Linked DNA regions of Saccharomyces cerevisiae S288C. The gene in region 3 interacts genetically with the main gene of each other region. Each region holds a gene or a part of one and is shown on either strand. Other genes may lie near its edges. The genes, in order: PTK2, SCS7, PBS2 and ORM2.

What was found.
Region 1: mutations in PBS2 (region 3) and PTK2 together harm fitness more than expected from each alone (negative genetic interaction), as found in Saccharomyces cerevisiae (5 studies listed by BioGRID).
Region 2: mutations in PBS2 (region 3) and SCS7 together harm fitness more than expected from each alone (negative genetic interaction), as found in Saccharomyces cerevisiae (5 studies listed by BioGRID).
Region 4: mutations in PBS2 (region 3) and ORM2 together harm fitness more than expected from each alone (negative genetic interaction), as found in Saccharomyces cerevisiae (4 studies listed by BioGRID).

Annotation. Positions count from the first base shown.
Region 1 is NC_001142.9:544,189-552,621, forward strand, and holds PTK2 (protein kinase PTK2), read left to right. Parts: upstream 1-1,598; coding exon 1,599-4,055; downstream 4,056-8,433. Other genes in the region: CDC8 (bifunctional thymidylate/uridylate kinase), read left to right, coding at 1-524; APS2 (Aps2p), read right to left, coding at 544-987; CBF1 (Cbf1p), read left to right, coding at 4,571-5,626; MNN14 (Mnn14p), read left to right, coding at 6,323-8,433. UniProt on the Saccharomyces cerevisiae protein: Essential determinant for high-affinity spermidine transport. Required for the activation of the plasma membrane proton pump PMA1 via phosphorylation of 'Ser-899'.
Region 2 is NC_001145.3:807,535-814,750, forward strand, and holds SCS7 (fatty acid alpha-hydroxylase), read right to left. Parts: upstream 3,244-7,216; coding exon 2,089-3,243; downstream 1-2,088. Other genes in the region: orotate phosphoribosyltransferase URA10, read right to left, coding at 1-14; YMR272W-B (uncharacterized protein), read left to right, coding at 3,555-3,662; ZDS1 (Zds1p), read right to left, coding at 3,699-6,446; RCE1 (CAAX prenyl protease), read right to left, coding at 6,830-7,216. UniProt on the Saccharomyces cerevisiae protein: Ceramide hydroxylase involved in the hydroxylation of sphingolipid-associated very long chain fatty acids. Postulated to hydroxylate the very long chain fatty acid of dihydroceramides and phytoceramides at C-2.
Region 3 is NC_001142.9:176,381-184,528, reverse strand, and holds PBS2 (mitogen-activated protein kinase kinase PBS2), read left to right. Parts: upstream 1-4,425; coding exon 4,426-6,432; downstream 6,433-8,148. Other genes in the region: NIT2 (putative hydrolase), read right to left, coding at 1-28; SPT10 (Spt10p), read left to right, coding at 309-2,231; MCO6 (Mco6p), read left to right, coding at 2,820-2,978; TRK1 (Trk1p), read left to right, coding at 7,223-8,148. UniProt on the Saccharomyces cerevisiae protein: Kinase involved in a signal transduction pathway that is activated by changes in the osmolarity of the extracellular environment. Activates the MAP kinase HOG1 by concomitant phosphorylation at 'Thr-174' and 'Tyr-176'.
Region 4 is NC_001144.5:826,782-833,758, forward strand, and holds ORM2 (sphingolipid homeostasis protein ORM2), read left to right. Parts: upstream 1-1,948; coding exon 1,949-2,599; downstream 2,600-6,977. Other genes in the region: DIC1 (Dic1p), read right to left, coding at 196-1,092; NIT3 (putative hydrolase), read right to left, coding at 2,708-3,583; LUG1 (Lug1p), read left to right, coding at 4,335-6,758. UniProt on the Saccharomyces cerevisiae protein: Component of the SPOTS complex that acts as a negative regulator of sphingolipid synthesis. Acts by inhibiting serine palmitoyltransferases (LCB1 and LCB2) activity.

The DNA.
Region 1 (8,433 bases), 370 kb from region 3:
CCCGAATCGGAGGACTCATAAACGAATATTTGACGGATGATAGTTTCCAATTATCAGATCAGGCAATTCACCTCTTGTTTTCGGCAAATAGATGGGAAATAGTTGACAAGATAAAGAAAGATTTACTAGAAGGCAAGAACATTGTCATGGACAGATATGTTTATTCTGGAGTGGCATATTCTGCCGCTAAGGGGACAAATGGAATGGATTTGGATTGGTGCTTGCAACCCGATGTAGGGTTGCTGAAACCGGATTTGACATTATTTTTAAGCACTCAAGATGTCGACAATAACGCCGAAAAATCTGGATTTGGTGACGAAAGATACGAAACTGTTAAGTTTCAAGAAAAAGTGAAGCAAACTTTTATGAAGCTATTGGATAAAGAGATAAGGAAAGGCGATGAGTCAATCACGATTGTAGACGTTACTAATAAGGGCATTCAGGAAGTTGAAGCGCTTATTTGGCAAATCGTTGAGCCTGTTTTGAGTACGCATATTGATCATGATAAATTTTCGTTCTTCTAGGAGGATCTGTACATATATCCTAGTCTAGTCTATCTAAAATACTTAGTCTTTCTAACAGCATATCCTTTGAAATTTCTTGTATTTCCCCTCCAATAAACATCTCGTCCATTATCATATAGACTTTGTAAAAGTTGAATACGATATCCAGTTCACAGACATTGCCGAAAAATGCATCTAGCACCTCCACAAACAGATGGATGTGGCACAAATATATGGGTTCATCGTCAAGTAAGTCCACACCCATGACAAAATACAGACCCGCATACCTCCTGTATATGAGTTTCGTCGAATCGGAAAACTCTACGAAGTTACTCTGATGCTTATGATCTCTGGAAGATATGAGTCTATAAATCTGCGCAATGGCATCCTGGCTACGCTGAGGATCCGAACTGTGTACATCGAACCATCTCACCAACCGCACCACACCCTGCTTATTAAAGCACAGTATAAACTGTACTGCCATTTTTTTTATCCCTTACAGCAAACAAGTCTCCGTTCTTCACAAAATAACAGCACCAAACGCTATCTCAAGGCAAACGTTCTTAATGTACCTACTGAATAAACCATTCCTCCCCGTTTGTATCAAAAGTATCCGAAACTGTTCTATGCGTGCAAAATGATATGTCTTGCAAAACTATTGGAAAGACCCTTCCACTACAGGTACAGTTTAGAAATGCCGGAGCTGCAAGTACTACGTGCCGGCAGCATGATAAACATACCCGCGTCCTATAGCCATTCAAGCCTACATATATGGTATATACAACATGAACGCTTTAGTACGGTCACCCCATCTACAAGCATAACCTCTTGGGCAAAGGCGCAAATAGTTGCCACGTGCGAGTGCGGTGCATGGGTGGCTGTCTTTTCGTCATTGGCACGACCCCTTGCAGGTGGGAGGTAGAACCAAATAATATCCGGTTGACGGTAAAAGCAGGTTTATATATAGTGTTAAAGAAAGGTATTGTCACATCCCGTCGCTACCCTTATCCAAACCACGATATCGCACGCACACCAGGAAAGTAAAGTTGTGTAAGCCGTAGCAGTTTTTTACAGGTTAACCGATTGAATAAGATAATGGCGGGAAACGGTAAGGACAAAGAGGTAGATAAAAGTCCCTCTGTTAGTACTTTGAAACTATTGGGAAAACGCCTGTTTAATTCCAGCAGTCACACGGATAACTCTTCGTTACTGCTTAGTGCCGAACAATTGGGCAATGGGAGAAGTTTAAGAAAAAGGCCAACGTCTCCGTCCATTAGTGGCAGTGGTAGCGGTGGTAATTCACCTTCGTCTTCTGCTGGGGCACGGCAGAGATCTGCTTCTTTACATAGAAGAAAAAACAATGCTTCTGTAGGATTTTCAAATGGGTCTGTGTCGTCACACAAGTCCTCTGTCGCATTGCAGGACTTAATTAAACATAATAATAACCCTTACTTGAACTCTCCCTCTGATATTCTGGGCACAGGTACTGGCATTGCCTCGACAAGAGATAGGGATAGAGCAGTTTTGGATAGAGAAAAGGAAAAAGAAAGGGCGAGAAACAAAGAAAGAAATACTCATCACGCGGGCTTACCGCAAAGGTCTAATAGCATGGCTAGTCACCATTTTCCCAACGAGAATATAGTTTATAATCCATACGGCATAAGCCCAAACCATGCTAGGCCAGATACTGCATTTGCAGACACTCTGAATACGAATAAGGAGAACGATTTGAGTTTTTACATGCATGATGGTAACAGCAAGATACGGATGTTGCCCCTTCCAATTGCTAATCCGAACGATTTTTTGCCCGAAGATATGAAACAATATAGTGTCCATTTAACGGATAATTTCGTATTTGATACGGACAATAAACCTATTGGTTCGGGTGGGTCTAGTGAAGTTAGAAAGGTTAAATCAAGTTACAGGCAAAAGGATGTTTACGCTCTAAAAAAACTGAATATGATATACCACGAGTCACCCGAGAAGTTTTACAAGAGATGCTCCAAAGAATTCATCATAGCTAAGCATTTAAGTCATAACGTTCACATCACGAATACTTTTTATCTTCTAAAAGTTCCCACGACCACATATACAACTCGTGGTTGGGGGTTTATTATGGAACTAGGTGTTAAGGACCTCTTCCAACTGATGGAAAGAACAGGCTGGAAGAACGTTCCCTTCAATGAAAAATATTGTCTTTTCAAACAAGTGGCCCAAGGTATTAAGTTTTGTCATGACAATGGTATTGCTCACCGTGATTTGAAGCCCGAAAATGTTTTAATTTCTAAAGAAGGTATATGCAAATTGACGGATTTCGGTATTTCTGATTGGTACCATGTGATACCTCATGACTACACTAGTCCAGTGAAAACATGCCAAGGTATGATTGGCTCTCCACCATACACTCCGCCAGAGGTAATGTACTTCGATGCCAAGAAGCACTACCCCGAAAAGTTCCAAAAACCCTATAATCCGTTGGCCATGGATTCCTATGCCCTCGGAATCATGCTGATTACCATGATTAACAATATCATCCCCTTCATCGATTCTTGTAACACTGATGCGAGATTCAGGGAATTTGAAGTGTCATATGACAACTTCATCAATCATCAAAACCCACATTTCAGGGACAAGGGCTGCCACAAGCCGGGTCCTGGTTCCGAATACTCTTTAGCAAGAAATTTCAAGAATACTGATGCCACGCGTATCGCATGGAGATTGGCTGACCCGAACCCTGCAACTAGATATACAATGGATGATTTATTTAATGATCCGTTTTTCCAACAAATTGAAACATGTGTCGAGCCAAATGATGATGACTTAGTAAGGGTTCCTGAATTAAGGAAAAGTACTTCTACCAATGATTTTAGTGAAAATTCATTAGATGCACCCCATGATCAAGAGGTCATTCACACGTCTAATCCATTCCTAAAAAAGGAAACGCTCACTTCTAAACCAAGATCGATGTTGGAAATTGCAGAATCTCCTTCCTTGAAACAAAAATCCAAGGTAAAAGATAGCGCAAAGACCAAAACACACGATGTTGGGGATGAAGGGGGGAATGAAAGCACCAAACCTAAGCAGCAAGATAAAAAGGAAAATTTGAAGAAAGATGAGGTCAAGAACGGCGACAAGGACAAAGTCATTGAAGAGGCTACCACGACTAATGTGGACAGCATATTGGAAAAACCAACACCAACCTCCACAAAAGTAGAGGACAACTTAAGCGAAGATGATTCCACAATGAAGGAATTAAAGTCGATGCTAAACTCCACCCCTACTACACCAACACATAATGGCCCCACTCCGCTCCCTGCAAAGGCTGGCACTCAATTAGATAAGCGTATGAGCGACCTATCACTCAAATCGGAAACACCGGCTTCTACAAAGAACTTTAGCGCACCGAATGTTTCGTCATCAAGCAATTCACTGAGAAGCCTCGGAAGTCCAAGCGTGTCATCCTCGAAAAAGAAGAAGGTAATTCACCACCACTTGGACATTACCAACAGCGTTACAAACATGTCATCCGTGAGCGCCTTTATCTCAAGATAGACGTTAGGACTTCTTTAATTCCCTCTTTTATGCTTTAGTATCGTCATATTCTTTCATACCCTTCCTTATAAGCTTTTTATATAAAATATCCCACCGGGAAAAGATAAAGAACGGAAGATAAATCAAACAATGAAATAAAGCACACACATATAAATCCACATATGTACTTATATATTTTACTTCAAACAATAAACAAACATTTTATTATTTATTTTTCCCGTACATCGATGTACGTGATCGGTTTTTCTCATTCCTCTCGGATCCTTCGGGACCACCATGTCTCACCCACCAAGGTCAAAAAAAAAATAAAATCGGACGAGAAAAGTATTGGGCAAACAACAATTATCCACGTGCTTATCACGTTTTTTTATTTAATGTAGAATGTAAACCATTATACCTTAAAGATAAACACTTTGTTAATTAATCATTTTAGTTGGCGGTCATTTTCATTTCTGCTACAAGTACCAACATCAAGTGCTTAAAATATAATACGGTTTTCTACACTTTTATTAACGATGAACTCTCTGGCAAATAATAATAAGCTTTCTACTGAGGATGAGGAAATCCATTCGGCAAGAAAAAGAGGCTATAACGAGGAGCAGAACTACAGCGAGGCCAGGAAAAAGCAAAGAGATCAAGGCTTGTTGTCACAAGAGAGCAATGACGGAAATATTGACTCTGCTCTGTTGAGCGAAGGGGCTACGCTAAAAGGGACTCAAAGTCAGTATGAAAGCGGACTGACGTCTAACAAAGATGAGAAAGGAAGTGATGACGAAGATGCGTCAGTGGCTGAGGCTGCTGTTGCCGCTACCGTCAATTATACAGACTTAATCCAGGGCCAGGAAGATAGTTCTGATGCCCACACATCTAATCAAACGAACGCGAATGGTGAGCACAAGGATTCCCTTAATGGGGAAAGAGCCATAACCCCATCAAATGAAGGAGTCAAGCCAAACACCTCCCTGGAGGGAATGACGTCTTCACCAATGGAATCTACACAGCAATCTAAAAACGACATGCTCATACCATTGGCAGAACACGATCGTGGGCCAGAACACCAACAGGATGATGAAGACAATGATGACGCTGACATTGATCTCAAAAAGGATATAAGCATGCAGCCGGGTCGTCGTGGAAGAAAACCTACTACTTTGGCCACAACAGACGAGTGGAAAAAGCAAAGAAAAGACTCCCATAAAGAAGTCGAAAGGCGTCGCCGCGAAAACATCAACACTGCAATCAACGTTTTAAGCGACCTCCTGCCCGTGAGAGAATCAAGTAAGGCAGCAATATTGGCGTGTGCCGCTGAATACATTCAAAAATTGAAAGAAACCGATGAAGCAAACATCGAAAAGTGGACGTTACAAAAATTGCTTAGCGAGCAAAACGCATCGCAATTAGCCAGTGCAAATGAGAAACTGCAGGAAGAACTGGGAAATGCTTACAAAGAAATCGAGTACATGAAACGCGTTTTAAGGAAGGAGGGAATAGAATACGAGGATATGCACACTCACAAGAAACAAGAGAACGAAAGAAAAAGCACTAGGAGCGATAATCCACATGAGGCTTGAGAGTTAAAAATAGATAGCTAAATGTATTTCGAGTCTCCCTATGTATCTGCGTCTCTGCCCCATAGCACCTCTGTTAAGTTTTTATCAATATTCCATCGGCATATTTGAAACCGCCCGGATGGTATTAGAGAATCACTCAGCCTCAAACTCAGCAAGTAAAAGAGGACGGGACGGACTTTCAAATATGTCTTTGTACGTTATTGTTTTTCATCCCTAAATGGCTTAGTAAAAAAGTTTTGCCAAGAATTTTTTGACGTTCAATGGAAAAATCGCCAAGAGAAATACGCACAACCTCCGTTTTCCCGCCTTTTATCAAAAAATCTTAGTTTTCCCTTCCTTTTTTTTTTTTTGGGTCGCAGAAAAGAAAAAAGATAGTAGTGGAGAGGATTACCTGAAAAAAACAGGCAAAAACGTCACATCCTTGAAGGTCCGCGACAATCACGGGCCTATTTCTACTTTGGGGCTTTGCTTGATTATTTAAGAAGAAACATTGGACGAAGATCAAGTAAGAGTGCACTTGTCTTTAGTCTGGCATTCCGCTATTTGTATCTTATATAGTTAACAACAACTGTTATTTACTTTCTGGAAAACAACCAACGTTTATTTTTATGAATTAGAATCATTGAGATTGTCTAAACGAGAGGAAGAGAAAGAAAGAGAGAAAGAGAAAAGAAAGCGAAGCAAGATACAATTCCAATGATGTTATCACTGCGCAGGTTCTCCATGTACGTTTTGAGATCTCTGCGGCTTCACTTTAAAAAGATAATCATTACTCTTCTAACTATCCAGTTACTATTCATTACCATATTTGTATTGGGCGGTCGCTCGTCGATTATTGACGGTAACTGGAAGTCATTCATGGCGCTCTTTTTCAAACCGCTTGCTTACACTAACAGAAACAACAACCATGCTTCTTTCGATCTGAGATCAAAAGACAACGTAGCCAAACTTTACGAAAAAATGAATTTTGATACTTCAGGCAAATGGATCGACACGTACACCTTGAAGAATAATCTTCTCACTGTGAAAATGGGTCCTGAAAAAGGGCAAGTTCTTGATTCGGTAGATGAATTGAGATATTACGATAACGACCCAAGGCTGGTATGGTCAGTTTTACTAGATCACTTATTAGAATCAGATTCCAATGAATACGCATTTTCGTGGTACGATTGGGCTAATTTTGACTCTACAAACAAACTCATTGCACTGAGACACACGAACATATCTTGCCAGTTCGTTTGCGAGGGTGCCTTTGATAAAAATGTGCTAGAAATGGTAGAGAGTGAAGTCCAAGAGCCTTTATTCGTCACAAATAGGAATAAATATGACGAATCGCTCTGGTACAACAGGGTAAGAAAGGTTGTCGATTCTAATTCTGTGCAGCAAGCCATACATGATCACTGCATGAATAATGACGCGTATTCCAATGGTACTCCCTTCGAATTGCCTTTTATCATAAGCGAAATTTCTGAAAGGTTGAGGCCAGAAGTGTATGACTTACAAGCCAAAAACCACTTGTTATATTCTAACTTTACTCCACTGTCATTAACCGTACTGGACAGCGATAAAGATGCATACAGAATCAATTTGAAGACAACAGACTCTTCCAAATCAAATATAGTACAGACAAATCTACTACAGAATTACATTAAGAGGCACAGAAATGAAATGGTAAATGGCGACCTCATTTTCAACCACACTTCCATGTTTGAAAAATTTTTACATCATGGATCCACTAAAAAAAGGAAACTTGACGTTGAAGCGTTGGATAAAACAATATACGCTGGAGAGTATCTAGAACTATCACCATCTGATTTCCAATTCAATGCAAAAGAGAGGATCATTGAATTAGAGACCAGGCTCAGGTCTGAAGGCCTACCATCTCATGATACCCACTATTTACGAAGTTTAAAGACGTCCGTAAATACGTCCCCTGCATTACAGCAAAAGTATTTCGCAGAGGCCTCTGATATTACGGACGCGACTGCCGATGGTCATCATAGAGACAGGCGATTTTTCTCAATCGGACATAATCTCCTAAATGACCCTCAGGAGTTTGAAGCAAGATTGAATTCTTTGATCAGAAATTTTCAGAAATTTGTTAAGGCTAACGGATTAATTTCCTGGCTATCGCATGGTACATTGTATGGATATCTATATGATGGTCTGAAGTTTCCCTGGGATGTCGACCATGATTTACAGATGCCCATTAAACATTTACATTACTTGAGTCAATATTTCAACCAATCCCTAATATTAGAAGATCCAAGAGAAGGTAATGGAAGATTCTTACTAGATGTAGGAAGCGCAATTACGGTAGGAGTTCATGGGAACGGCGAAAACAATATTGATGCTCGTTTCATCGATATTGACTCAGGTATATACATTGACATCACGGGACTTAGCGTTAGTTCCGATGCGGCTAAACAGTACATGTCCAAATTTGTAGAAGAAGAAAGCTCGGGCGAAAGCTTTTCTGCCCTTATTGAAGACTATAAGTTTGACGAAAACGACTATTTTGACGAGGTGGATGGTAGAGAAGGTTTAGCTAAATATACCATACATGAATTAATGGAATGGGTTAATTCTCATCCAGACGACTTTACGGATGCAGAAAAGAATTTAGTCACCAAAACATACAAGAAAGAGCTTGCAATTTCGAGAAGCGATTATGCTGAAAAAGACTTGTCTCCGAAACAAAGGTATTTGGTAAATGAGAAGTATAACCTTTACAATTGTAGAAACCAGCATTTTTCCAGTCTAAACATCATATCACCCTTGAGAAATACAATGTTCAGCGGTGTGTC
Region 2 (7,216 bases), on a different chromosome or scaffold from region 3:
GTAGATGCAGACATTATTGGATTATGTTTTATTATTCTTGATGGCTCTAGGTCTCGACTATTTTGCGTGACACTTCCTTAGTTCTTAATCTATATAAAAGAGCCTGTGATGGCCTTTTACCCTAGATTAGGAAGCGAAGGGGCCTTTCCCGAAAGGTTATGTATGACTCCCTTGAAATGCATATGATAATTAAAACCAAAAAATGTTATGTGATTCTGAAAGGAAATGCTGTCATGTGAGTCAGGTGTAGAGCAGGTTAGAACAGTTTATATTACATAGTCTGAAAGGCACGTGAGAAAGTGCCATACCATTAGCCGAATACGTGAAATGTCTAAAAAAATACAAGTGAAAGAATAAAGTGCTAAAAAAACTATCAGGCTCTCAGAAGGCAATTTAGCCATATGTATACATATATATGTGTGTGTATAAACCTCATATAAGGGGCCCCAATGGTTTATCTAAAGGATATCCTATTAGGACTTGTCTGTCACACGCAAAACTTCAAATGACATAATGATGAGCACTTGTCAAATAATTGAGTAACTTCTTCGATATCTCTGGTATGTAAAAATAAGTATATCGAGATGAGCGATTGTATCTGTATAGAGGTTGGTTTCTTTTTCTTACCTTTCTCTTTTTATTTTTTTCTCGCATTGGTTCAAAAAAAAAAAATGATGGTTTAAATTTCGTAAAATACGAAAAATGAAGGGAAGGTCCCACCCGGATTCGAACTGGGGTTGTTCGGATCAGAACCGAAAGTGATAACCACTACACTATAGGACCTTTTTCTTCTGTTGTTAGTGTACACTAAAACTTCCGGTTTTATGGAACCTTTTTAAGAAAGATGGTCCCTATTTTAACAATATCGCAAGCAATGGATCTTGTACTGGTACGGAAAACCGTATATACTAACAAATCTTAGGTTTCTACGTCTGACTAAAGAAAGAATTGTGAGTGAGGTTTATAGTAGAAGCTCTCCTCATGACTTTGGGCTATGTAAATTGTTGATAATTAGAGGTAAAAAATAGTATTAATGAAGAAATAATTACTGATCTTCTTATACTAAATAAGAGAGGTATATAAAACACACGCCGATTGGTCATATTAATCATGACCAATATAATAGTGATTCCGGTAGTTACTATACATTTATGTGACGACTCATATTCCTCATATATGTACCTACCATAACATGTTCAACTAATAGGTCTTTAACACAGCTTCAGTATTGTCTGAGCTTCTCGTTTAACATTCCTTCTGCAATAGGTGCAATCACACTTAAACGTATACGAGGTGTACATTAATATACGATGTAAGCATTAGATTGTTACCATAGCAACTCATGTCACTATTAATTACTCTCGTTCCAACATAAATGCAATTGATGATTTGCGCAACGCAGATACAGATTTTACTTTATTCTTCGTGCCTAAAATGGACCATCGTTTCACTTACTAGCCGTTGTTTACTAAGATATAGTTGTATACGGTGTGGAGGATGATAAGATCATTGGACCAATATAACTATATAAATGTCGGCACCAGTTTAATGGAACCTCGAATGCAATTACTGATAACGGAATGGATTAAGAAATGATTAGGTATGAGGTACTCTTATAGTATGTAGAATTTCTGATTTGCTTATGTGTTCATTTATTCTCGAGAAGAACCCTTAGTATATTCTGTGTCCTAATATTACAAAAAGTCAATGAGAGTCTAGGGACTATCAGATAACTTCACTGTGCTCATCTTGATTCCTGTTCTAACGACAGTAACACAGGATACGGTTAGTATTTTTTTGCCAACCTGATCTGTGAAAGAAAAATGTACCTGTCAATTCGGTTCTTTTTTGAGGCCGCTTTTTCGTATAGTCGTCATCGATTGGATATTCGTTTAAGAAATAACGTGCTTGTTCATCGATTTCATCTATGATTCCATTCCATGTGTATGTATATATACGTAGTTACATATAATAATATAAATAAAGATTTGAAATAAATATGTCGCAGAAAAGAACTTTGCTCAAGATTTCATTGCTCGTAATGTTGTTTTTCCTAGGTTGACAATTTTGGACGAGGCTGACCAATAATTATTCATATTTCATTTTGGACAATGGGGCATCGGGGCCTAAGTAGGTGCCAAAAACTTCGTCCCAAAACCAGGATGTGACGCCAAATCCCAGTTGGTAGTTTTTATAATGATGTTCCAGGTGATATTTTTTCAACTTACGCATGAAGGGAGGCAATTTAGAGTGGTGCAAGAAGAAATGACATTCGTCATAACAGACATAACCGAAAAGACCGCCAGCAAAACCAGCGTAAGCCCAATAAAGTGGCAGCAGAGCAAATACCAACTTGTAAAATGGAGCACAAAGGATGACGAACAGAGTAGGTGGCATAACTAAACGGTACTTGTCCATGGGCAAGTAATGATGGCAACCATGTAGTAGAAAATGTGTGGCGAATGCGATGTTACTTTCAGGTAACCAATCATCGAAATGAAATAGGAAACGGTGAAGACCGTATTCAATCAAAGTCCAAACAAAGACACCGACACAGAACAAGAAACATGCAAATAGCTGGTTCATGTTCTTCAAAGCAACACCCATGTGGTACACAACTACAGGCAACCAAGCAACTGGAACAACCCACCAAGCTGTTTTAGTTAATGGTTCCAAGAAATTACCAAATAGCGGGGCAGACCCCTTACCGTAATGTCTTGGTCTATGGATTTGGTCAACGTAAAAATCTTTCTTGAAATCACTACGCAGAATCTGCATCAGCAAAGGACGGTTCAGATCCAAAAATTTATGCTTTTTGTAGTCGTTACTGTAGTCCGTAGCAATACTTAGTTTCTCCTCGGCGGGCAACTCCTTTACAAAAGTAGTGGAGTCAAACTCAGTACCGTCAGCTGACAACTGCACTTCAACCTTATGGTTCTTGTTAGTCAACAATCTCGCTGCCTCTTCGTCAGTTGCCAAGTAACCAATCAAATATTCGTCCTCAAGGATTTCATACGCGGAGTCGCTGTGTTCATGCACATCTGAGTCTTTCATGATCTCAGTAATGTCCTTACCAGCATAGTCCAAGATGGACTCGTCACCACCAGGGTGTTCGCTCAAAAACCTGGTCACGTCATAAATCTTTCTGTTTTGATAAGTGACCCAGCAGTCATTGGCAGTATTGTGTTCTTGTACCGTCTTTTTTGAAAACAGTTCCAAAGTCTTGGAAGTATTAGTCGACATCTTCGTACTAGTTTTAGCTTACCACCGCTTTTAGTGCCTGCCACGATAACAATAGAAAAAAAAACTAATCAAAGACAATAGACACAATAGCTTCTACTATCTAATACCTCTGTTCTTATACGGTTCCAAATTGAAAAAAAAATTAACTGCGAAAAGATGTCACACGTCAGTAAATCCGCGCAAAACCCCGTTATATTTCCGACGTCGTGCGGTAGTTTCTGCGCGGAACGGCCCCGCGGAATAGGCACATTTTCTTCCGGCCGCAGAAAGCTCTCTTTATCAAAAGCAAGACTGTTTTCGGCTATTGTATTATGAGAAGTTTGGTGTTTGTCCAACTTTCCCTGTTGTCCTGGGAAATATTCTGTGGGGAACGTAGCTTTGTGAGCATGAAAGCTATCTTTTCGTGTATGTACGTGTGATGTGTATATGTCTATGTATGCAGCGCTGAAGCCTTTTCAGGGTTGTTGTTGTTGTTGTTGTTGTTGTTCTTTGTCGTGGGCTACCTGCTCCATGTACAGAGTGTGATTAACCAAGTTCAGATAAGCATACATGAAGTTACTTAGTAATACCTGCTCGCGCAGTCCCCTCTTCGAATTGCTCAATTTCAAGTGACTCAGCCGGTATATGGCCCTTTCGACGTTAATTGGTAGACGGTGGTCGAACATGATAACCGTAGACACTGTCAGCAAAGGCAGTGGGAACCCAAAGGCACTGTCTGTGAATTGAACCGGGGAGTTTGGTTTGTCAGGTTTTTTGACGTCTGCAAATGTAAGCTTTCTTGGGGGCAATATGGAGGTATGTTTCAATGGTGGTGCCGCTGGAGCCTGAGTTTGAGCTGAAGCTTCAACTGGGGCTGAAGTTTGGACTGGGGCTGAATTTTGGACTGGGGCTGAAGCTTGAACTGGGACTGAAGTTTGGACTTGTTCTTGAGCTGGAGCTTGTAGTTGAGCTTTTTGCTCATCGGTATTCTCCTTTTGGACGTGTTTGGAGTGTTGTTGGTTGGAAATTTCTGTCGTATTGCTCCTCTTCTTGTTCTTTTTCTTTGCCTCCTCTTCTTCTCTGTCTCTAGAGTTACTTTTGGTACTACTTACACTAACGGCCGGCTGTAGTTGGGGCAAGCTCTCGGAATCGCTTTCCTCTTTCTTTTCTATCTCTATTGCGCCTTCCAATTGTGGTTGTAATGGTATCTGCTGCTGCGGCTGAGAATCTTTAAGGGTTTTTACGCTTATTTTTTGGGAACCATGACGGCTGTGATGGTGACGGTGAGGACGAGGGCGATTGCGCAACACAATGGGTTCAACCGGCTCCCTTCCACTTTTGTTACCAAGCTTTTTGCTTTTCCTCACGCGAACGTGCACGGCATCGTTATTTGGTATTGATGGTGACGATGATGGTGACGACGAGGGTGATGATGATGCATCATGCTTGTGGTGTGGCTTTCTTCTGAATAGGTTCGCAAAAGTTTTCTCGATTTTCTGTCTTGTCTGTGATGTGGCGGTGGAAGTACTTGAATTGTTCATTTCTTCTTTATTTGACACCTCCGTCTTCTCACCGCCATTAAATAGAGAAATATAATGTTTTTTGGAATTGTCGAGCTCCATTCTTTGTGAATCCACGTTTTCTTCATTTTCATCGTCCCCTTGGTTTTCTTCGTTATCGTCTTCTCTGCTCATTTTATTGTTCAACCATGTCCATCCGTTTCTTCGACGATGTCGCTTCGTTTCTTTGTTGTCATCCGTTGCGCTTGGCTTTACCATGTCTGTTGTTCCCTCTCTTAACTCTAAGTCTTGTTCTACTGTGTCATTTCGAACCTTGACGGGTACCTCTTCGGCTTCTTTCTCTATTCCCATTTCTTGTTCCCACTCGCCACTAGACTGTCTGTAATGATTATAAATGTCTTGAAAATCACCAATTGACCCAGGCGAACTCATATTCTCAGAATCCTCATCTTGCTGTCTAAAAGGGGATTTGTGCGGATCTATTTCGACCTTTATTGTATTCTTGGTCAATTTTAGACGTTCTTCGTCGTCGTTTTTCATTTCATCCACACTTTGTTCTACTTCTTTTTCTTGCTCTTGTGACCTGATTCGATAAGTGTTGAATCTACTCCTTCTCAGTGACGATCGTTCAGGCCATGTCATGGTATTATTGATGGGCATATTGGAGGCAAATTCACCATCATCCAAAGTATTCGCTTGTGAAGTTGAAAAACCAATATCTCCTTCATCATAATGCCCTTCCGGTTGTGGTTGATCTTTTTTATCTGAATATGAACCAGCCATACTAAGAGTTCTGGCTAATGTAATGGCATCATTGTCGGTTAGTCCTGCACTATTTGAGATCTTTGTCAGTTCTTCAGTTATATCTCTTAACGACACTGGTCTCTCTTTTATTTTGGAGATTCTTTCTTCGACTTTATTTACTGTTTCAGAGGCACTGTCTCCCTTATTATCGTCATCTTCGTTATCATCAAACTCTGTATATGACCTCCGCAATGTTGAAGGCCTTCGTATTAGTGACGCGTTTCCATGCCTTGACAGCCCCCTGTTCAAGTTGATAGTGTTGTTCTCCTTATTTTCATATGATTGTGATTCTTTATCCTCCCCATTATCCTCAATATCGTTATTTTCATTGCTATTCCCATCATTATCTTCACCATTGTCGCTTAGTTGTATATTTTGTAAAGTATCTTGTACAAGCTCTAGGAAATTATCAGGCTTAACGTTAGGGTGTTGATTGGCGGGAACCCATAATAAGTTTTTCTTTAATACGTTAGCATTTAATTTCCTGGATGGAGAGTGAACACCTTTTTTTATACCTAAGTAGTTACCTTGTTTAGTCTTATTGGAGGATTCTATCCCTGAGTTACCCCTCCCATGCAAGTTCTCTAGCGGAGTTGGATCGCTATATCGTGTGTTATTAACGGTGGTTGTGTCACTTGGCATTGACGCAGAACTGGATGTCGTGCCAGACCATGATCGTCTCCCACTAGATTCCCCACCGAATTTTATATCTAATTCTGGATCAATAAGTAAATCCATTGACCCAATCGACAATCTTTTTAGGTTTTTTACGCTGCGGATTTCATTGTCAAGGGACTGTGCAGCAATCAAAACTTCAGACTTCCGTTTATCCCTTTGACTAGCGATCGCCTTATCGCTTGATGTAGTACGCAGCATGCTCTCGTTATCTCTATTGGACATTATAAAAGACAGCTAAATTCTCCTTTGAATTGAAAATATGTAACCCACAAAACAAACCAAAACTAACTAAGACCTTAAATTCTAGGAGACCAAATAAAAACCTTAAAAAAAGAAAAACGTCGAAACCTATTAGATGCCACCTTCTCTCTACTCTTAGATCTGACAACTTCAATACCACTGACACGAACGACTTGTTATTGAGTCCGTAATACAAAGTATAGGTACTTTATAGTCCTCCAAATTCTTTCACCAAAACACCAAAACTCGATTTTTTCACTCTTCCGTAACAAAAGCCCGGTCGCTCGATAGAATTCCATAATAGTAGTGAAAAAAGGTTATAGTACATAGGAAATTTTAAACGGTATACAAGTACGTAAAAAAGGCTAAAGGGTTATTCTATAACCAGGAGTTCCTACCAGAGTTTGTAAGGTATCCTTCAGGGATATTAATCCAAGGACCAGCAGTGCGAAGTAGCACTTATTCCAGATTGAGACCAATTTGGAAATGCGTCCAGCTTTCTTGTCTACTACTGTGAAATGTAAATTCAATCTTGAAGGACCAGGAAACCCCATGATATTGCAAAGGGCATGCAGGATTATGCAGCACCATAGGTTCCCGCCTGTTCTTACGAATACAAACTTGGTTAACCCTCCAAAAAGTGTTGTGTATAAAATTTGGAAGCATGTTGTCAGCAGAATGGAAACAGTTGTCATGGAGCCTTCCTGTAATTGCTCATAAGCATGGTGTGCGTGCGCAAGTCCAAAAAAAAG
Region 3 (8,148 bases):
CAGCAACCCGTTTTAATTTACTAGTCATTTGCGGTGTTATATTTTATGAAGGAGACTTCATGATGGGTATGAATTTTATTTCACCTCTATTCATTTACTTCTAATGGCCTAGAATCTAGTAAGCTCTGAAAATTCGAGATGCGGATCGTGAGCTAAAATAATAAAAAAATGAAAAATATAAAAGAGCAAAATTCATTACATTGGCGTTAGTTCACTGCTCGGGGGATGAGTAAAAAGTGTACCGATCAAGAACAACTCTAGACTTCCGCCAAAGTGATTATCAACAAAAATCGTAATAATTAGCTTCAATGCTAAATCAGCACACAAGTTCAGTACCGGATGACGAACATCTGCAGATGGCACACCAAAATAGCAGTTCAGAAGTGAGAAATGAGGCAGCGGTCCCAGATCAACTTTTGACTCCTTTACAACCGTATACCATTTTATTGAAAGATGGAGAAACAATAGCTACGATGTATCCTATACCTGCGTATCCTGATTTATTGCCGCTAGGGCTCTTAAATTTCCTTCTAGATGAATTTAACATGGAAGTGGAAAAGGGAGATAGTTTTCCTTATTACGAGACTTTATCACTAGAAGAATTCAAAAATGTCTGGTTTCATAATGATGGTCACGTTTGTATTATGGTGTTAGGCGAAATACCAGAACTGGATTATAGTATGGATACTGAAGCGGACACAAATGATAATTTTGGAACAGAAATAGAAACCACGAAGCACACCACCCAATATAAGAAACGAAAAGAACGTCGCAATTTAAATCTAAGTATGCAGTGGGAGAAGCAATGTCTAGGCATATTTGACCTCAAACCAGCATACCCTGGACGGTCAGCGCATGTGGTCACAGGAACATTTCTGGTCAATGCTGGTATTCGTGGAAAAGGTATTGGGAAAACACTAATGGAAACATTCATAGAATGGTCAAAGAAATTAGGATTTACGTCCTCCTTTTTCCCGTTAATTTACGGAACGAACGTAGGAATCAGAAGAATTTTGGAAGGATTGAACTTTAGGCGGATTGGAAAGCTGCCTGAAGCCGGGATTCTCAAGGGCTTTGATGTCCCAGTAGATTCTTTCATGTATGGTAAAGAGTTCACACATATTACGAAAAGTATAGATTTGTTACGAGATCCTCAAAAGAGTATCGAAATTGGGAAATATGAACGATTAAAGCATTTTCTGGAAACAGGCAAGTATCCTTTACATTGTGATAGAAACGAAAAGGCTAGATTAAGAGTACTTTCCAAAACTCATTCGGTATTGAATGGCAAGTTGATGACAAAAGGAAAAGAAATCATTTATGACACGGATCAACAAATCCAGATTGCATTAGAGATACATTTAATGGAACATTTAGGCATCAACAAGGTGACCTCCAAAATTGGTGAAAAATACCATTGGAGAGGAATCAAGAGTACTGTTTCGGAGGTAATCTCTCGGTGCCAAAAATGCAAGATGAGGTACAAAGACGGGACAGGGGTAATAATTGAACAAAAGAGAGCAGTTAAGCAGGCGCATATGCTACCGACGCAGCATATAGAAACTATCAACAATCCAAGAAAAAGCAAGAAGCATGATAATGCGTTATTGGGACAGGCAATAAATTTCCCTCAAAATATTATTTCCAGTACGCTGAATGATGTGGAGGGTGAACCCACTCCGCCAGACACTAATATCGTACAACCCACATTCCAGAACGCCACGAATAGTCCCGCAACAACAGCTGAAGCCAACGAAGCGAATAAAAGATCCGAGTTTCTTTCCTCAATACAGAGCACGCCACTATTGGACGACGAACAGTCAATGAATTCCTTCAATAGATTCGTGGAGGAAGAAAACTCAAGAAAAAGACGAAAATACTTGGATGTTGCCTCCAACGGAATTGTACCCCATTTAACGAATAACGAATCGCAGGATCACGCGAACCCCGTCAACCGTGATGAACGAGATATGAACCATTCAGTTCCCGATTTAGATAGAAATGACCATACTATAATGAACGATGCTATGTTGAGCCTCGAAGATAACGTCATGGCCGCTCTAGAAATGGTCCAAAAGGAACAACAACAGAAGATAAATCATCGAGGTGAAGATGTGACTGGCCAACAAATCGATTTGAACAACAGTGAAGGTAATGAGAATTCAGTCACTAAGATTGTTAACAACGAATCTAATACATTTACAGAGCACAATTCTAATATTTATTATTAAATTGCGACTCTGCCAGAGACGGTCACATCACCAACCCTAGAAACTATAAAGTTTGTACAGAAAAAAGGTACATTTAATGATGCGTCCACTTTTGGAACAGGGTTGACAAGTCTTAAATCTTATTTCAGAAGTGATTTTTGAAGTAAAATTGGAAACTGAAATTGGAAACAAGGCACTCAACTCAATTATGCTTGCATGACGAAAGGTTCTGTTACAGTTTTACGTTGAAACCTAGGTACTGCAGAAATCCATAATCGGAGATAAATAACTAAGCTTTGTGCTGCAAAATTTTCCAGATTAGGAAACCTGATCCTCAGTGCCCTTTTAAGTACTGCTGTATCTGATGCCGTGAACGAGACACTATTGGCTGCGTGGGCACGTACCAAGTATACTCATCAAAATTTGTCTTAGGTTTTCCGATGCGGAAAATGGCAGCGCACAATTTAAATAGAAAAGGAGTTAAATGTACAGCAGCAAAATCAGTCACTCACGGAGAAAAGCTACGGTAGCGTAACGAAGAGCACATTGCTACTAGCAGCCAGCTAGATAATTGCAGCAGTGTACAGTTTACGCGACAATAAAGAAAGCATGATTTTCTTTTTCAACCAGATCCGTTCAATATTTACAGCTTTGCATACGCCAACTCAACAGATCCAATTATCAAGAAGGGCCTTTTTCCAATTCTTAGGCTATTTGGGTAGTTGTGTTGTGATTTCATTAGCAGCTCAATCGAAATACGTGCAGTAAGAAATGAAATAATGACCTGCAACAGTCCTTCTTGAGATGGAATGAAGTAATTGCTCTTTGAACGAGAGCACAAAAGCAAGCAGAAGTCGCGTATGTCAAGCCCATGATATAGCTGCTTAGATATATAGGTAGATATAAATAAGCACAATGGCTACAGTAATTGTGCGGTGCAGGGAGGCAATGTTTAGTGCATCTCCTCTACATCATTTCTATTTTTAATCTCGTCCACGAGAACGATTTAAGGAAATGGGGCTTCAAAAATAAAAAAATCAAATGAAAGTAATAATCTTTCAGCTTAGACTTATTTTTAGTTGAAACACTTGAATAAGAGTGCAGACACTCAATCGTGGTGTAGCTACAAGAACATATGGTGGCGTGTTTCTGCTGCAACTGTCAAGATCGTCTGTGTCTTAATGAGGTGATATATAGAACTGCTGAATACGGAGCCGTTTGTCTTTTACTGCGGGATTAACTTCAACAGCTACGGCCGAAGCCAATTCTGGCAAAAGGCAATGACTAAGTCTTGTTTCTCATGTAGATTACTATTTTGAGCGTGTTGCTTTTCTGTTCCCCTTGAGCATAGCAGCAGGCACGGAAGCATACAGAATATTCACTAACATGAGAACAACTCATTACTAGACTACTACCAGTTACTACACATCGATACAACTCCCCAGAAATATCACTGTTGAGAGTTCATGTCAAGACGTAGTATAGTATTGCAACAGGAAAAAAAAATCTTATTGCGTAGCACTCTGTATCTATTTTATATATCTGTTTCTATATTTGATTAATCTCTTGTTATCTTGGTGATGATCGCACAAGTATGTACTCCTGTATCTGCAAGAATATCTGTTTTAAACTTTTCAAAGCAAGGAAACCCCGTCTTATATAGGTTATCCGCAAAGGTCACATTTTCTTGCAAATAGAAGAAAAAGCACCCACAAGCACACTAACACAGTGCCAGAGCAAAACTATATCCTTTGCATCCGATCTCAAACGCTGTTCTTATCGCATCTGTCTTCGTCCTTTCATCTGCATTTACCTTTTCTTTTTCATCCTCTATTTGCCTTTTCATTAGTGGCAATTTTTCCAGTTTTTTCCCTCTGCGTCCCGTTGCACCTGAAAGGATCTTTCTAACGTGTGTTGTCTACTAGTGAGCGATTTCGTGAGCCATACACGTTCTATAGAAAATTGAATAAACTTTACTTCAAAGGGATCTGGACACAGAGATAACTGCTTACCTGCTTGCCGGAAGAAAAGAATTACTAAAAAAGAAGACAAGGGTAGCTGCTATTGTGGGTACACGTTTCACAGAACTACTTTTTCCTTGTCCTTCTCCAGACATCAACGTCATACAACTAAAACTGATAAAGTACCCGTTTTTCCGTACATTTCTATAGATACATTATTATATTAAGCAGATCGAGACGTTAATTTCTCAAAGATGGAAGACAAGTTTGCTAACCTCAGTCTCCATGAGAAAACTGGTAAGTCATCTATCCAATTAAACGAGCAAACAGGCTCAGATAATGGCTCTGCTGTCAAGAGAACATCTTCGACGTCCTCGCACTACAATAACATCAACGCTGACCTTCATGCTCGTGTAAAAGCTTTTCAAGAACAACGTGCATTGAAAAGGTCTGCCAGCGTGGGCAGTAATCAAAGCGAGCAAGACAAAGGCAGTTCACAATCACCTAAACATATTCAGCAGATTGTTAATAAGCCATTGCCGCCTCTTCCCGTAGCAGGAAGTTCTAAGGTTTCACAAAGAATGAGTAGCCAAGTCGTGCAAGCGTCCTCCAAGAGCACTCTTAAGAACGTTCTGGACAATCAAGAAACACAAAACATTACCGACGTAAATATTAACATCGATACAACCAAAATTACCGCCACAACAATTGGTGTAAATACTGGCCTACCTGCTACTGACATTACGCCGTCAGTTTCTAATACTGCATCAGCAACACATAAGGCGCAATTGCTGAATCCTAACAGAAGGGCACCAAGAAGGCCGCTTTCTACCCAGCACCCTACAAGACCAAATGTTGCCCCGCATAAGGCCCCTGCTATAATCAACACACCAAAACAAAGTTTAAGTGCCCGTCGAGGGCTCAAATTACCACCAGGAGGAATGTCATTAAAAATGCCCACTAAAACAGCTCAACAGCCGCAGCAGTTTGCCCCAAGCCCTTCAAACAAAAAACATATAGAAACCTTATCAAACAGCAAAGTTGTTGAAGGGAAAAGATCGAATCCGGGTTCTTTGATAAATGGTGTGCAAAGCACATCCACCTCATCAAGTACCGAAGGCCCACATGACACTGTAGGCACTACACCCAGAACTGGAAACAGCAACAACTCTTCAAATTCTGGTAGTAGTGGTGGTGGTGGTCTTTTCGCAAATTTCTCGAAATACGTGGATATCAAATCCGGCTCTTTGAATTTTGCAGGCAAACTATCGCTATCCTCTAAAGGAATAGATTTCAGCAATGGTTCTAGTTCGAGAATTACATTGGACGAACTAGAATTTTTGGATGAACTGGGTCATGGTAACTATGGTAACGTCTCAAAGGTACTGCATAAGCCCACAAATGTTATTATGGCGACGAAGGAAGTCCGTTTGGAGCTAGATGAGGCTAAATTTAGACAAATTTTAATGGAACTAGAAGTTTTGCATAAATGCAATTCTCCCTATATTGTGGATTTTTATGGTGCATTCTTTATTGAGGGCGCCGTCTACATGTGTATGGAATACATGGATGGTGGTTCCTTGGATAAAATATACGACGAATCATCTGAAATCGGCGGCATTGATGAACCTCAGCTAGCGTTTATTGCCAATGCTGTCATTCATGGACTAAAAGAACTCAAAGAGCAGCATAATATCATACACAGAGATGTCAAACCAACAAATATTTTATGTTCAGCCAACCAAGGCACCGTAAAGCTGTGCGATTTCGGTGTTTCTGGTAATTTGGTGGCATCTTTAGCGAAGACTAATATTGGTTGTCAGTCATACATGGCACCTGAACGAATCAAATCGTTGAATCCAGATAGAGCCACCTATACCGTACAGTCAGACATCTGGTCTTTAGGTTTAAGCATTCTGGAAATGGCACTAGGTAGATATCCGTATCCACCAGAAACATACGACAACATTTTCTCTCAATTGAGCGCTATTGTTGATGGGCCGCCACCGAGATTACCTTCAGATAAATTCAGTTCTGACGCACAAGATTTTGTTTCTTTATGTCTACAAAAGATTCCGGAAAGAAGACCTACATACGCAGCTTTAACAGAGCATCCTTGGTTAGTAAAATACAGAAACCAGGATGTCCACATGAGTGAGTATATCACTGAACGATTAGAAAGGCGCAACAAAATCTTACGGGAACGTGGTGAGAATGGTTTATCTAAAAATGTACCGGCATTACATATGGGTGGTTTATAGCGTTAATATCCAAATAAAAGCAAACAGGCACGTGAATATAACAACAAAAAAAAAGCAGACGAAAAGCTACTGTGGAAATGATGCGGCGAATACAAAAAAACCTTACATATACATATGTTTATTGTAATAAACTTGCATTATACTCGTTATAGACATATATATATATATATATTCATATATATATATCGTCTGACTTCCTTTTGTCGAACCTAAAAAAGGGCACGAATTATGACAGAGTATTGAGGGGATGTTATTTCAAGCACCGGCAAGTGAAGCGATGTGGACGTCAATATATTGTGTTATTCGATTATTGCTACGGCCATCGACTCCTCGAAATTATTTACGTTCGGGGCTGACAACGCAAGAAAGAAAAAATGCTCTGGAATTGTCTGATGGTTTTTCCGCTCTTTACGGCTCAAGGCTAGGAAAGAAAAAAAAGTCCAAAATCATCGAGAAAATAAAAGGTGTTTTGAAAGTTCAAATCCACGTTATTGAGAGTAGATGTGGAGTCTGGACCAGGAACTATACCTGTATCTTACCCTAACTTCTAAATTTTGCTACTTTCACGGAAAACAGTAAATAATTACCTATCAAGATAAAGAGCTCTTACATTATTAGAAACTTTTTGTTACTGTTGCTTTCCTTTCGCCCATTGTTTTTACCTTACCATTAGCATCACTGATTCCACACTTGTATTGCCTTAAAAAGAAGGAGGGTATTCTATTGGCTCTCAAGGAAGTCATTCCTATCCATTTTACTTAAAGTTATTACCTTTTTTTGATAACTAACAATGCATTTTAGAAGAACGATGAGTAGAGTGCCCACATTGGCATCTCTTGAAATACGATATAAAAAATCTTTCGGCCATAAATTTCGTGATTTTATTGCTCTATGTGGTCACTATTTTGCTCCAGTTAAAAAATATATCTTCCCCAGTTTTATCGCGGTTCACTACTTCTACACGATATCCCTGACATTAATAACTTCAATCCTGCTATATCCCATTAAGAATACCAGATACATTGATACATTGTTTTTAGCAGCGGGCGCAGTTACACAAGGTGGCTTAAATACTGTGGATATCAACAATCTAAGCTTATACCAACAAATTGTTCTGTATATCGTATGCTGCATATCAACACCAATTGCAGTTCATAGTTGCTTGGCATTTGTACGGCTTTACTGGTTTGAGCGCTACTTCGATGGTATTAGAGACTCTTCTAGACGAAATTTTAAGATGAGAAGAACGAAAACAATCTTAGAAAGGGAACTAACAGCAAGAACCATGACCAAGAATAGAACAGGTACCCAAAGAACGTCTTATCCTAGGAAACAAGCTAAAACAGATGATTTCCAAGAAAAATTGTTCAGCGGAGAAATGGTTAATAGAGATGAGCAGGACTCAGTTCACAGCGACCAGAATTCTCATGACATTAGTAGGGACAGCAGCAATAATAATACGAATCACAATGGTAGCAGTGGCAGTTTAGATGATTTCGTTAAGGAAGACGAAACGGATGACAATGGAGAATATCAGGAGAACAACTCCTACTCGACGGTAGGTAGTTCGTCTAACACAGTTGCAGACGAAAGTTTAAATCAGAAGCCCAAGCCAAGCAGTCTTCGGTTTGATGAGCCACACAGCAAACAAAGACCCGCAAGAGTTCCCTCAGAGAAATTTGCAAAAAGAAGGGGTTCAAGAGATATTAGCCCAGC
Region 4 (6,977 bases), on a different chromosome or scaffold from region 3:
ATTTGATCGCTGCATGAGGAATGCTGGTTATCTATGTATCGGGACATGGTTGCAACGTTTCCAACAAGAACAAGAATAGAAAAAAAAATACCGAAAGCGTCCTTTGCGTTATACCTACCAACCGTGTACAAGCTTTACTCTTCTTGCTTTCTTTATTTGCTATGTATCTTTATGTTTATATGTATATAAATCTGCCTACTTGTCTTCCTTTGGCATGCCAACCCTATGTTTTTTCAATTGCTCAATTGCAAAGAAAATTAACATTGTGAATGGACCCAGTCTAGTGAAACTTGGCAACCACCCCCGGAACATGAAAGATGGGCCCTCTTTGCGGACAGCGTCGGCAAGGATCTTCAAAGCCGGTTGATGGTCTCCGCTGCCGTTCATGATACGTGTCTTCATGACGTCTGCTGGAGAGCACACAGTGGTGGCCACCAGGCCAGCCAACAGGGACGCTGTCAAGTGTGTATAGTTCTTGGATGCGTCGAAATCTAATTTTGTGACCAAGTAGTTCTTAAACACGTCATACGTAACGACCTGACTTGCCGTCATCAGTATGCCCCTAACCATGTTAGGCTTCCAACCGGTAAACAAGGTTTTCAGTCCACCCTCGTAGCGATATATCTTGTACACACCATCGATAGCGTTTTTGTAGTTTCTCCTCTTCGCTGCCTCCAAAGCAGAGTCGTTTTGCATTCTGATATTTACAACATCTGCAAAATTCCCTGCAAGCCCCCCAATGGCACCACTGAACATGGAGCAAGGTAAAAGATACGCCATGTTAGTCAATTGCTCGCGTGGGATCACATTCTCTTTCAACAAGTCGTATGCACCGAATCTCACCGTCGTGTATGTACATTGCCTCAACACAGCAGCGCTCAGGCCGGAATATAACCCCACCACACCTTCATTCGCCAAGATACTCTCCAACATCCTGAAGAGTGTGGGCTTGGGCATAGGAGCCGCCTGCAGTCTGACTTTGGCCAAGTCAAGAGGATGTGTCACCATGGTAGCAAAGATACCCGCTGCACCTCCGTACCACCATGGATACTTGATATTCTTACCGGCAGACTCTTTTGCGTTGGTTGACATGCCGTCCAGCTGTTGCGTTATCTTTTCGACACTTTCAGAGCAAGAGAAACGAACCTCTACACATAAATATGCATACGATTATGTATATCCATATATATATATACACTACAAGCCGACCGCCCGACCGTTTCCTGCCCCCAACATTGCAGCGTAATCGCTTGCCAAAGACCACACCTTGCAGCCCTTTTATACAAACATGTCTACGACGTACAGTGGAGAGGGCCCTTTCCTTGGCACTCAACTGAGATTGCGACGCGATACCTTCTGCGACCGTTCCTACTATCGCGGCCATAACTCCAACAACGACAGCGGATGCGCTGTTCTGCGGATGCGTGACCGTATCCGCAAAGAACGAAGATTAAATTTAGGGTCCCCGGCATTGAGGATGGTTCTGCCAAGAACTCACGATATAAACCAGTTGGTTGAGCATCGCATGGATGAGTATGGCGTATTTTGATTGCTCATATATAGTGGGGGGGAATACTCATGCTGTGAAAAGCACAACTCTTTTCACTCAACGAGGTTAATGCCTTCTTTGTCTCCACGCCGTTTTTTTCTGGCGCCCTTTTGAGAAAGATAGCCTGTCCCGTAATCGTGGCTTTGGCAGAGACAGAGGGTGAGCGAAAGAGCGGGCGAAACCGAGAATGGATTCCGAGTAAAGGATTGCGATGGCATGAAACAAAACCGAGAGGCACTCCTTGTAAGGACACACATACACAGACGTAAACATATATATACATACGTATACTCAAATATATCTTCGTATCATTAGGTCAGCTTCTCTCTTCCGCACGTAGAATTAGAGAATTAACGCAAGACTATACCATTATAAAAACGCATAAGAAACAGTTTCATCATGATTGACCGCACTAAAAACGAATCTCCAGCTTTTGAAGAGTCTCCGCTTACCCCCAATGTGTCTAACCTGAAACCATTCCCTTCTCAAAGCAACAAAATATCCACTCCAGTGACCGACCATAGGAGAAGACGGTCATCCAGCGTAATATCACATGTGGAACAGGAAACCTTCGAAGACGAAAATGACCAGCAGATGCTTCCCAACATGAACGCTACGTGGGTCGACCAGCGAGGCGCGTGGTTGATTCATATCGTCGTAATAGTACTCTTGAGGCTCTTCTACTCCTTGTTCGGGTCGACGCCCAAATGGACGTGGACTTTAACAAACATGACCTACATCATCGGATTCTATATCATGTTCCACCTTGTCAAAGGTACGCCCTTCGACTTTAACGGTGGTGCGTACGACAACCTGACCATGTGGGAGCAGATTAACGATGAGACTTTGTACACACCCACTAGAAAATTTCTGCTGATTGTACCCATTGTGTTGTTCCTGATTAGCAACCAGTACTACCGCAACGACATGACACTATTCCTCTCCAACCTCGCCGTGACGGTGCTTATTGGTGTCGTTCCTAAGCTGGGAATTACGCATAGACTAAGAATATCCATCCCTGGTATTACGGGCCGTGCTCAAATTAGTTAGTTGGCTCTGCCTATACGCATATATGTATATATATATATATATATATGTATGTATGTGTATATGTATATGTACGTATACCTTACATCATCATCTTTCTTTATATTCTCTCTAATGCGCATTTACATCGGAGTACACGTCAAATCTTCTTTGTTTGGTTAAGGGTACCGCTTGTCTAAATGACTCAATGACTTCGGGATCTAATTCAGCATAAATAATCTCTTCTCCCTCGCCAGCTTCAGCTACAATCTTGCCTCTAGGGTCCACCACTATAGAGTGGCCATATGCATGGTAAGAACTCTGTAGATTCCTTGCGGGAGAACATAACATCACGTACACTTGGTTGTCAACTGCCCTGCTTCTTGCCAGTAAATGCCAATGCAAGGGCCCTGTGACAGTGTTGAATGCACTAGGGTAGATCATGGCAAACGCACCCTTGCGTGCACTTAGCATTGCGAGTTCCGGAAACCTCATGTCATAGCATATACCTACGCCAAACTTACCATATTTCGTGTCAATGGTAGTAGACTTCTCTCCAGGGCTCAAGGTTTCACTTTCATGGAACGATATACCGTTAGGAATGTCTACATCGAAAAGATGGACCTTCCGATGCTTGTCAATCAACTTGCCATCCTCGTTGAAAATTATAGAGGTGTTGTAGATTTTGTCTGTCTTTGGATCCAATTCCGGAATTGTTCCTCCTACCAAGATGATTTTAAACTTATTGGCTAAATTAGACAGAAATTGAACTGACGTCGAAGGCTCTTTCGGATTGATAACTTCTGAATACTTTCTAAACTGATCAGTGGAGTACGGAGAATTGAAGCATTCTGGCAATACGACCAACTTGGTATCCGGCTGTTCCTTCATAGCCCTTTCAATGAACGTTGCAGCCCTTTGAAGATTGGCCATTTTGTCAGGACTCGAGCCTGACAGTTGGACCAACGCAACTTTAATTTTTTGTGAAAGAATCTTCGAAGCACTCATACTGGCGATCTTCACGCCCTCCTGCTACTACAAAAGCTGTGTTTTTACAAGAATCAAATTAAGTTAGCAAGATATCATACAACATTATTGATAATTTTAATATCGTGTTCGTACCTGATGACGTATCTGTGCATTGATAAGGCCCGCATGGTTTCAGAAAGCAGAGCGGGACGATTCCAAATTAGTGGCCTTGTGCTTTGCATGTCAATTGTGTTACCTTCAGCTCGTGGATTTGTTTTATCAATACACAGTCTACAGTCAAGAATTTTTTTTTATCAATTTGTGCGTTCGAGCGTATAAAATAGCCGCTGTAGCTACTTAAGTTCCTGTTCAGCGATAGTTTTTTTCCATCACACGTACTATGGCACCAACTTTGTACTATTCCTTCCCCGTTTACTCAATTCTTGAAGCCAATTTGTACAATTCCCCATTAGAGTCAAATAAAAGGATGCCTCACGGAGGTATGTTACCCGCGCTATTTCACATGGCTCATTGAATTAGAGGTGGAATTTGGTGTACCCTCCCCTCCTCATCTGATGAAGTAGTGATCCGACAATTCTTAAAAGTTGTAGACATTACTCTTACCACCAACTAAGTTGTATTTATATTGCTACCCTTATCCTTTTATATCTAACTAGCGCTTATAAGGTTGGGGCAATACTAAAACTGTGATCTTATTCAGCTCATTAAATACGTGGCAGTACGTACCCTATTAGAAACAATAGGAAACAACAGAGTCGGAAGAAGCCAAATGCCAGATTTGAAGTCCAAGACCTTGTCAAGCCAATCTTTGGGAGCGGCTATTCCTCCAGAAATTGTGTACCAAATACTTACATACCAGTTTAGGGATTTGTTAAGAAATGACCATCCAGGTACGGCAGAAAAGTTTAACGAAAACTTAACTACATTTGTCAAAAGTAATTTAACTGTTAATAAGACATTCTCCCATATTTGTCAAGTTCTCATTTATAGATATTGTAATTTAACTACCGCAAAGAGATTTCACGGTCTTTTACAGACTTTAAAGGGAAATAGATGCCTTTGCAATAAGATTGAAGTAGCCGATTTCCAAGAATTAACGTCTATTGGACTGGGGAGGTCCAGTGAGATGAATAAAATGATTAAAAATCTAACTAACGAAACTCTTCTTGAGTTTCTAATGCTCACAAAAGCAAACTTAAGGGAATTCTTAGCATGTGAAAATATTCAAGACGATTTAGACGATAATATCATAAAGTATATTCTATCTCCAGGAAAAGTCTTGAGTGTAGTGGATTTCTGTGGCTGTTCAGGCACCACTTTCACAGAAAGTTTTATTAAGGCCCTGGATAAATACTACCCTAATAAATCGATTGATCAGTACCGGCTGGAACCTATTCAACAAAATTATCAGATTACCTGCTTAGGCCTAAATGATTGTATTGATCTACCATCACACGTCCTTTGGAAGATCTTAAAAATGTTACCAGAACTACAAAAACTTGATTTATCTCATACCTCCATTGATGATAGTACCTTATATCACGGCATACCTCACTGGAAAAATTTAACTCATCTTTCCCTCGCTACTTGTCTTCAAGTTACTCCAAGAGCGGTTCTGGAGTTTTTTAGTCATCACCCAACAATTACAGACCCTGACAACACTTCTACATTAGAATGGCTGAATGTTAGTGTCATTGCCCATTCCTCATCTTGGAATGAGGTGCACACAATGTTTTTACTAAAAAAACTTTGTCAACATGGCCATAACAAAACTTTGCAATATCTAAATATCGGCGGTTTACCGCTTCATGTTGCACCTTCTTTCGGCGAGGACCCTATTAGCGAATCCACTTATTATTACCAATGCCGCGATAGCTTACAGTTCATAAAGTGGAATTTTCCGAAGTTAAAAAGTTTGAGTATAAAAGGTAATAGTATCCCGATATCTACGCTCGTAGAATTTTTGACACCAATTGATCAAGACCATCCTAATTGTGCTCAAAAATTGAAGTTTTTGAATATTTCTGGTAACTCTTATGTGAATAAATGGACTATTCAGGACTCATTATTGTACACTTGTTCTCCAAGTTTAGTCGCGTTAGAAGTTTCCTTTGACTCGTGGCAACAGATTGAAAAACTAAATGATAGACATGAAATTATTGCATACAGATATAAAAACCCAAATTCGGTAATTAAAGATATTTCAACAGCAGAACAAGTAAAGTGGAAATGTTACATTGATTCTTCTTATGGTAGGAGATATTGGTTATATAAGACTGATCCTTTCCTGAATCGTGATGACTTGGATTCTAAGTCAAATTTAACTAGGTATGATTTTGAGGGTCACAAAATCATAGAAATTATAAACCAGCCGGATTTCCTAAAGTTTGCCCAAAGTAAAATCATGCTTGGATGTGGTCTAGTTCCTCAAAGTGGTATTAGACGTAAACTATGTTACAGAGATTTAAAGCCACCAGTTTCTCAATTCTTAAATAGAAAAGGTGCGATCAGCCTTGGTGATACTCCACTACCAATAATTACCCCAACATTACCTCGTGGTGGGTGGAGAATCATCCATAATGAGGACGACAACAACAGTCATGTGGAAGATAGCCAAAATCACGTGAATGCCATCCCAAGAAGGAATTCTCTGTTGAGCAGACCCACTTTAAGAAGCAACAATGGTTCTTCCTCTGCCAACCCCTTTGCTATCAATGTTTCTCCTGCATCTCAAATCAGGGATGGTTTGTACTGGGATAGGTCGGTCCATGATTTACGTGAGCTATCATTGCAAGAACAAAGAATTCAGGAGTTAGCTGATGAGCAGCAGGAACTAAGAACAATCGCAAACTTTGAAGAGACTGACGACGAATATTTGCACGATCCCGACTTGCAACGGAGAAGGTCCCAACTTCACTTATTTGAAAGTTCGCGCTCACGTTCAGGAAATAAAACAAGACCAAGTTTAACTGGTGAACACTCGTCCTCGGCATCGTTTCTATCCTTCTCCCACTTCAACCACCTTCACAAGCGTAAGAATTATTATTTCACGCATCCCGATGAATTTGTCTATGATCCAAAGGATCCTCTGACGACTCAAAGATATAGATTACATTTTGAAATAGTCAACGAATATCAAGTTTTTGGGTGCATTGAGCGTGGAATGTATAGATACTACAGTTTAAAAGCATAGATATTTTTCTCTTTACTTCCTTACCCTTCCTCCGCTCTCGTCTTGTGTCTTGTATATGATTTCTATATATGGTAAAATATTGCATACATCGTCTACCATTTAGCCAGACTTTTCGGAAACGAATTTAATGATTGCAGCAAATTCCCTTCCCCTATCAACTGATTGAAGAATGCCTCGAAACGCAATGTGATTTTTAAGTTTTCCATTTTTTTTTTTTTC